Macaca mulatta: one gene and its partner. The protein of the gene in region 1 interacts with the protein of each later gene in a pairwise test. Links are inferred from orthologs where the notes say so. Each region holds a gene or a part of one and is shown on either strand. Other genes may lie near its edges. The genes, in order: EHD3 and MICALL1.

Region 1 (4,246 bases):
GTACGACCCCTCCTACAGTGCTGGCTGACACTCCCCCAAGGGGAGACAGCTTTTGACGCATGAGCTAAATTCAGTTGCTGACATGAGTGGAGAGAGGGAACTATTGCACATGGAGGATAAGAAAGAAGAGAGATCTGTCTCTCCCAGTCTTGCTGTCTCCCTCAGATAAGGAATCATCTATGGCAATTTGACTCTGCCACTTTCTTAGACCCAGTTAACAGCCAGCGATGACTCAGGCAAAGCCGGTAGAGTGTCTCAGACAAAAGGCACTTAAACCTGTCTGCTGCTTGGGGATCCTCGCCTCTCCCCATCTTCCCTTCCATTCTGCAAAATGTCTGCTGGGAACCTCCTATAGCTGAGACCCTGGAAGAGGCCCCGGAGATGCTAAGGCATGGATGTTGTCTTGTCAGTGATCGTACTCCAGGAAGGAGAAGCTACAAATAATGTAGGAAAGGTTATAAATACCATATGTGCAGAGAGCCAGGGAAGGCTGAGAGGGCAAGGGCCATCTGCAAATGGCCTGTATTTCCCTTGAGGCATGAATGGGCCAAGTGGAGGCCAGGGCTCACAAAGGAAACCCTGCACACAACCCAGGCAGCTCTGAAGTGCCTTTGGCAGCAATGGGTGCTTAATAAAACAAGGGGCATGGCTTAGATCAGGGATTCCCACCCTGAAGTCCAAAGATGGCCCTTGCACTCCCAACATTATATGCAAATTTGGGATGCATGTACATTTTTCTAAAGATAGAAAGTTAAGAAGCAATGGATTAGATTAATCTCAAAGGCCTCTTGCAGTTCTATCAATACAAAACATACAAGAGCCAACAGGCCCATCTCCCAAACTCCTTCAGAAATCACTTGGCCTCTTAAAGCTGCTGAGCCCTAGGCTGTGTACTCCACAAGGACAAACTCAATGTGGTGTTGTGTTTAGACATCACCTATTAGCATGGTGCTACTTCCAGAAGGCTTGTGTTACAAGGTCGATGTTAGAGAAAATTAGTACCTAGAAAATTAGTAACTAGACTGTTAACTTTTCTGCTCTCCTCACCAAACAAAGCACAGCATTTCACATGCTGTGGATGCTCAGACAGCCAAGGAATAGGAACACGGGTACCCCTGCTTTCCAAACCCTCTGCAGGAGATGAGCACGCTTGACTTTGGGGGTCCACCAAACTCCATTCTCAGTCTGTGGGAGCCTGACTCTTAAGACAGAGGGCCACAGCATTCTCAACAGTTTGGAATGGCTGTAAAAGAGGCCAAGAAAAATGGCCGGCCTTGAAGTTGGGAGGATTGACGACTGGAGAGAAGCCTGTTATCTAAAGATAGGAAGGGCCTCTGGTGGACCTCTCTGAATGCAGGGTGAACAAATTGACTTCTTGAGCTTCTCTCCAGCCCATGGATTCTGTAACTGAAGGGAATGGATGACTCACTCTCAGAGTTACAGGCGTTTAGCCAACCATCTCCTCACATGCATCTAGGACTTAGATCCCAGGTCTGCTGCCCACTCTTTAGATGGCTCTGCACAATTCATTTAACTTCTCTGTGCCTCAGTTATCTCACCTGCAAAGTCAGGAACTGGATGAGACAATGCCAATATCCCTTCCACCTCTAAGAGTCTTTAATATTATTATCGAGCCATTAAGATCAAATAAGAGAAAAGAAAAAAAAAAAACATTCTGCTTCTGGACTCCGTCGAGTCTCCAAGATACATATATACACAGGAGCTCTGCTTTAGAGAAGGAAATGATAAAAGAAGGACAAGTAGCATCCCCAGGCCACCTCCGTCCCCAGGCCTGCACCCATCAGAACTCAGCTGCAACTGTGAGGCCCCCAAGTGAGTGCCAAGCCCCTTGAAAAGCAAGGGAAGAGGTTTTGCCCGAAATGATGTGTTTCTAAAAAGTGAAGATGCAAGACATCCCCACCAGCATGAGGCGCTCCAGAGACCAGGAGCTCTTCCATTGTGCCTCCTGGGGCTCGATTTCATCATCCATAAGATGGGGAGACCAGGAATGGCTTTACACTTGAATACTTCAGGTTGACCACTAGAGCCAAGGGCCAAGTAGAGTGTACAGGTATTGGGTAGCATGGGAAGGGGGACCAGCAAAAATTATGGGGTAAGATTTTGACGCCTGCACACACACATATATCTTCAGAGCCCTCAACTGAAGGCTTCCCATTGGTCCCCTGTCAGGAGTGGAGCACCAGGAGTGACCGGAGGGACTAGGTGCTGGGCTCCGGGGTGGGCTGCCGGGACCCTGGGCCGGCTCACCTGATGAAGGTGGTCTTCCCAGTGGAGTACTGGCCCACCAGCAGAACCATGGGCTTGTTGTCGAAGTCGGCATCCTCCAGGGCGGGCGAGTGGAACTCGTGGAAGCGGTAATGCTCTTCCAAGGGCAGCAGCTTGCTCTTGTAGAGTTTCTTGAGCCCCTCACTCACCGTCTGGAAAACCTCGGGGTCCTTCCTCCGGCGGTCGTCCGTACCCAGCCAGCTGAACATCGCGGCCGCCGCTCGTCCCCGGCACGCAGCCCCAGGGGAAGACTCCTCCTCAGGGAAAGATGTCCCGTAGGACCGGTCCACCGGGCTCCGAGCCGCGCCGCCGCCTCACCCAAGCGCGGAGCTCAGCCGCACCATGGCCCGGGCACGCGGCTAGGAGGGCCGGGAGCGCACTCTCCCTGCTCCTGGGACCAAGTCCGGCCGCCGCTGCATCCAGCAGCCCAGGCCGGAGGGAGGATTAATGATCTGGGCTAGAGGAGGAGGGGTGCAATCTTGGAAATTAAAGTCGAACCTGCAAGGAAACTGCCAGATGCCGGGGTCCCCGATCGGCCCCCAGCCCTTGCCTGCTCTGCCCTGCGTGCAGCAAGGGATGCTTCGGCTCCGCTCCTGCCGGACCGAGGCGGCTCAGGGGAGGCGGCGACGCTGCCCAGCCCGCGGACAGCTCCGCATCCGCAGCAGCATCCTGCAGCCCCAGGCGCTGGTTTAAATGCCAGCTGGGCAGGAAGCCGGAGCGCGGAGGAAGTCCCCGAGTACTGGCAAGGCAGGGCCGGCCCCACGGTCCCGGCGACGGGAAGCCGCGCAGGGCGCCGCCATGTTTGTGGGCAGGCGCTCCGCTCCAGACCTGCGGCCGCGCGGGTAGAGGGATGCTGACCCAGTCCCGGGGGAGAGCGCCGATGTCTCAGTCTCCGCCTCTGGGGCTTCGATTTGGGAACAGCGCCCTCTCAGGGACGGCTGCGAGGACAGAGTTGACCTGTTCATCACCCTCCCTGCATTGAATCGCCTCTCCTTCGGTTGCTGAGGTCAATTCCCTAGGAAAACAGGTACTCTACTATTTGGGATTTTTTTTTTTTTTTTTTGGCATAGAAAGAAGGATCCGCTATCAGGTTCCACAAAATGACCAAAACTGTCACTACCCAAACTTTTAGCTAGGCTTAGGGTGAAGTCATAATCGTTCCCTTTTATTTATTCGTTCATTCCAGCAAAACAAAACAAGCCAACAAGCAAAATCCCTGCAAGTATTGGGCATTTATTATGGGGCAGATACAATTTTGGTGACTGTGGATACAGAGATGAGTGCTGAACAGACTCTTCCTTCCAGGAACTCCAGTGAAGGCAGGCTTTAAAGAGGAGGCATGAGCAGAGGGCCATGGGAATACAGGGAGGATTCACTCCTTTTGTGTGGCTAATTTGAGGAATGCTTCACGGAAAGCATGACTGTAAGCTGGATCCTAAATGATGAATTGACATTCATTATTCTAGCAGCATAAGGAGCATTTGCAAAGGCTTGAGGAACATGGGAGAACTTGGTGTGTCTAAGGCAGAGTAAACTGTTTGGCATAGCTGGAGTGTAGGGTTTAGGAAGGTGGAAGAGAGTGAGGGAGGCCAAGCATGGAAGGCTTTGCCAGAGATGAGGAACCAATAACAATGCTATTACTAATCATTGTTACATTAACAAAATGCTCAGCATGTACAGGGGCCTGGGCTGAGTTCTCAGTGAACATTGCTTTATTTAACCTTCATAGCAGATCATATTATCTCCGGCATCACACCAAGGAGAGTGAGTGGGAACACCGTTCAGGTGTAGGCAAAAGCAGTGCATTGTGTGTAGAGAATTTAAACCCAGTAATAAACTGGCTGAAAGTTGATGTGCTTTGTATTGGCACCATTCTAAACAGTATAGTGAGAAAACACTCTTCCCTGCCCAGGCTGATGGCTCCCACTACCCTCCCTTTCACAGATGAAGAAGGAGGAGG
Region 2 (3,806 bases), on another chromosome or scaffold:
GAGCTTGCAGTGAGCTGAGATCCGGCCACTGCACTCCAGCCGGGGCGACAGAGCCAGACTCCGTCTCAAAAAAAAAAAAAAAAACTGTGTAAGTAGAGGCACAGCTGGAGTAAGAGTTTCACAAAGCACTATTTGGCCTTTCTTGTATGATACAGTCTTATACATTGTATATTATTCTATTTCATTAACAAAACATAGCCGGGAGCAGTGGCTCACGCCTGTAATCCCAACACTTTGGGAGGCGTAGGCAGGTGGATCACTTGAGGTTAGGAGTTTGAGACCAGCCTGGCCAACATGGTGAAACTCCGTCTGTACTAAAAATACCAAAAAAAATTAGCCAGGCATGGCGGCAGATGCCTGTAATCCCAGCTACTCGGAAGGCTGAGGCAGGAGAATCGCTTGAACCCGGTAGGCGGAGGTTGCAGTGAGCTGAGGTCGCACCATTGCACTCCAGCCTGGGCAACAAGAGTGAGACTCCATCTCAAAAAGAAAAAAAAAGAAAAAGAAAAGAAATCACAAAACACCACCTGATTGGGTAAAACCTACCGCTTTATTTTCCTGAGCCACTCCTGGATGCAGCCATTCACTGAATGCCACCTCTCGGGGGGACCTTTGCTTCTTCCTCTTGCAGCATAAACTGAAGGCATGTTTCACAACTTCTGTTGCTGATTTTGTGTGATTTTGTGATTTTATTGTTCCACTATGCTTCTGACAGTTACTGTTTTCTTTATCCTCTGAGAAGTCTAGAGTATGAATCCTGGAGCTTGGCTGGCAGTTGGGAGGAGGGAAGGGAGGAAACAGCCCTGGGTGCGGCTGGAGGGGTAACCAGTGGCTGGGCCTGGTTGCCTGGCTAAGTGAACCCCTGTCCTGTCCCGTGCTAGGTGTCGGCGGTGCTCCAGCACCCTGCTCCCTGGGGCTTATGAGAATGGGCCCGAGGAGGGCACCTTTGTGTGTGCAGAACACTGTGCGAGGCTGGGCCCGGGGACACGGTCAGGGACCAGGCCTGGGCCTTTCTCACAGCCAAAGCAGCAGCACCAGCAGCAACTCGCAGAAGATGCCAAGGATGTTCCAGGAGGCAGCCCCAGCTCCAGTGCTCCTGCAGGGGCTGAGGCCGACGGACCCAAGGCCAGCCCTGAGGCCCGGCCCCAGATCCCTACCAAACCCCGGGTTCCTGGCAAACCACAGGAGCTGGCTAGCACCCCTGCAGGCCGCCCCACCCCCGCCCCCAGGAAGGCCTCCGAGAGCATCGCCCCACCACCCCCCACGCCCCGGCCCCGCTCCAGTCTGCAGCAGGAGAACCTGGTGGAGCAGGCTGGCAGCAGCAGCCTCGTGAACGGTGAGCAGGGTGCAGTCGGGGCAGGGTGCACTGGGTGGCAGTGCACTACTGAAGTCTGTGTGTCTGGGATTGTTTGTCGGCCCCTCTCTGTCTGTGCTGCTGTGTACTGTGCTGTGTTGGGGACTGCCTGTGTTTTTGAGGTTGTTATTATTTATTTATTTATTTATTTTGAGACGGGAGTTTTGCTCTTGTCCCCCAGGCTGGAGTGCAGTGGCGCGATCTCGGCTCACTGCAACTTCCGCCTCCTGGGTTCAAGTGATTCTCCTGCCTCAGCCTCCCGAGTAGCTAGGATTACAGGCATGTGCCACCATGCCCGGCTAATTTTGTATTTTTTTTTTTTTTAGTAGAGATGGAGTAGAGACAGGGTTTCTCTATGTTGGTCAGGCTGGTCTTGAACTCCCTACCTTAGGTGATCTCCCTGCCTCGGCCCCTCAAAGTGCCGGGATTATAGGCGTGAGCCACGGCGTCCAACCTATTACTATTTTTGAGACGGAATCCCACTCTGTCACCAAGGCTGGAGTGCAGTGGCACAATCTTGACTCACTGCAACCTTCGCCTCCCGGGTTCAATCAGTTCTCCTGCCTCAGCCTCCTGAGTAGCTGGGATTACAGGCTACCACAGCCCAGCTAATTTTTGTATTTTTAGTAAAGATGAGGTTTCACCATGTTGGCCAGGCTGGTCTCGAATGCCCGACCTCAGGTGATCTGCCCACCTCAGCCTCTCAAAGTGCTGGGATTACAGGCATGAGCCACTGCACCCGGCTCTTACTTTTTACTTTTTTTTGAGATGGACTCTCACTCTGTCATCCAGGCTGGAGTGCAGTGGCACAATCTTGGCTCACTGCAACCTCTGCCTTCCAGGTTCAAGCGATTCTCCTGCCTCAGCCTCCCAAGTAGATGGGACTATAGGGCCACACCACCATGCCTGGCTAATTTTTGTATTTTTGGGTAGAAACGGGTTTTCATCATGTTGGCCAGGCTGGTCTCAAATTCCTGACTTCAGGTGATCCACCTGCCTTGGTCTCCCAAAGTGCTGGGATTATAGATGTGAGCCACCGTGCCTGGCCTGTTTCTGAGGTTATTAATTCCTGCCACAAATGCTGAGTTCCTGCGGCCTCTGCTGTGCTCTATTCTCCATGCTGGGACGGTGCAAAGGAAACAGACCCAGGCCCCACCCCTATGCTGCCTTCCTCTGCATGCGCTCTTTTGCATCTGTTTTTGTGGGCTTTAGTTTCAGGGTGGGTAGTAAGTGCCACTCCAAGTGTGCCTGTGTGTCCCCGAGGTCTCTGGGACTCTGCACACTGGTATCCTTCCTGTGTGTCCTGGCCCATCCACAGGCACACCGCAGGTGACCTCCAAGCCCAGCCTCTATGCTTGCCCATGTCTGGAAGGGGAGACCTCAGGGGCTTGGGGGAGAGCAGAGGGGTCAGGTGGGCCCCGGAGCCAGTGTGAGCTGCAGTGGAGACCCCTGGCTCATTCTGTGGGTGCATTCTCCCCCAGCCCCACATTGTGAAATGCTCCCAGATGACCTCCCCGGATTTCAGTGAGCTTGTAGGATTGAGACTCCTTGTATAAGGCTGCTGGGCAGCCCTTATCATTCCATTAGGGAAGGCATTGGTGGCCACGGGGTGAGAGACTCCCAGGGTCACCCTGCGACTTGCACCAGAACATTCTGTTTGTTCAGCTCTCATGGAGGCTGGATCTGAGCTGGCCGCTGGGGACACAGAATACTGTTCAGGCCTATCTGTGCCTTCAGGGCGCTCCCAGCGTTGAGGTGGAGACAGGCACAGAGGCACGGGTTTCAGTGGATTGTGGAAGTCTTGTGAAGTTGGAGGAGGGGAGCAGGGGCTGTTGTGGGATTCGTGGAGGACGCTCAGGAGTCCGGGACTTCCAGGAGGAGGTGGCTCCCGGGCTGAACTGAGATGATGTTTTCCGCCCACACTGGGGGGGTGTCTGAGGGGATTTGGGTTGCGTCTTCTCAAATGAAATGCAAATGGGATCTCAGGTGGCCTGGCCTTGACCCCTGACTGTTCTCAGCCACCTGGGTGCTTATCTAATTTCCAAGGGCTGGGCTGGGGAGGTGCGAGGGTGTAGGAGGAAGGCGGGGTGCTCCTGGGGAGGCAGCTACTGTGGCTGGCTCCCTGGGTGCCCACCTCCTGCTGCCCATGAAGGCCTGGCTCACTATCATTTCCCATGTAGGAAGACTGCACGAACCACCTGTCCCGAAGCCGAGGGGGACACCGAAGCCATCTGAGGGGTATGTTGATCCCTGAGGGGCGTTCCTGCTTCAGAGGCCCTGGTGGTGGGAATTGGGGTACTCTGGGGCCGGGTGGGAGAGAGGCTTCCTGTGGATGAGCAGCGTGGGGCTCAGGAGGGGAAGGAGAGCTGGGCCCACACCCCCTCTCCTGAGGCTCACCCTGGGATTCTTGCAGCCACTGCCCGGCCCCCTCCCCAGGTGCCTGGTCCTGTGG

Evidence for each region.
Region 2: the proteins of EHD3 (region 1) and MICALL1 interact in binary tests that used the Homo sapiens proteins (3 or more experiments, as listed by UniProt). The link is inferred for Macaca mulatta from reciprocal best matches to the Homo sapiens genes EHD3 and MICALL1.

What each region holds. Positions count from the first base shown.
Region 1 is NC_133418.1:93,691,940-93,696,185, forward strand, and holds the start of EHD3 (EH domain-containing protein 3), read right to left. Parts: upstream 3,094-4,246; 5' UTR 2,496-3,093; coding exon 2,269-2,495; intron 1-2,268. UniProt on the Homo sapiens protein: ATP- and membrane-binding protein that controls membrane reorganization/tubulation upon ATP hydrolysis. In vitro causes tubulation of endocytic membranes. Binding to phosphatidic acid induces its membrane tubulation activity.
Region 2 is NC_133415.1:13,579,063-13,582,868, reverse strand, and holds part of MICALL1 (MICAL-like protein 1), read left to right. Parts: intron 1-449; exon of another isoform or gene 450-881; coding exon 882-1,336; intron 1,337-3,534; coding exon 3,535-3,592; intron 3,593-3,806. UniProt on the Homo sapiens protein: Lipid-binding protein with higher affinity for phosphatidic acid, a lipid enriched in recycling endosome membranes. On endosome membranes, acts as a downstream effector of Rab proteins recruiting cytosolic proteins to regulate membrane tubulation.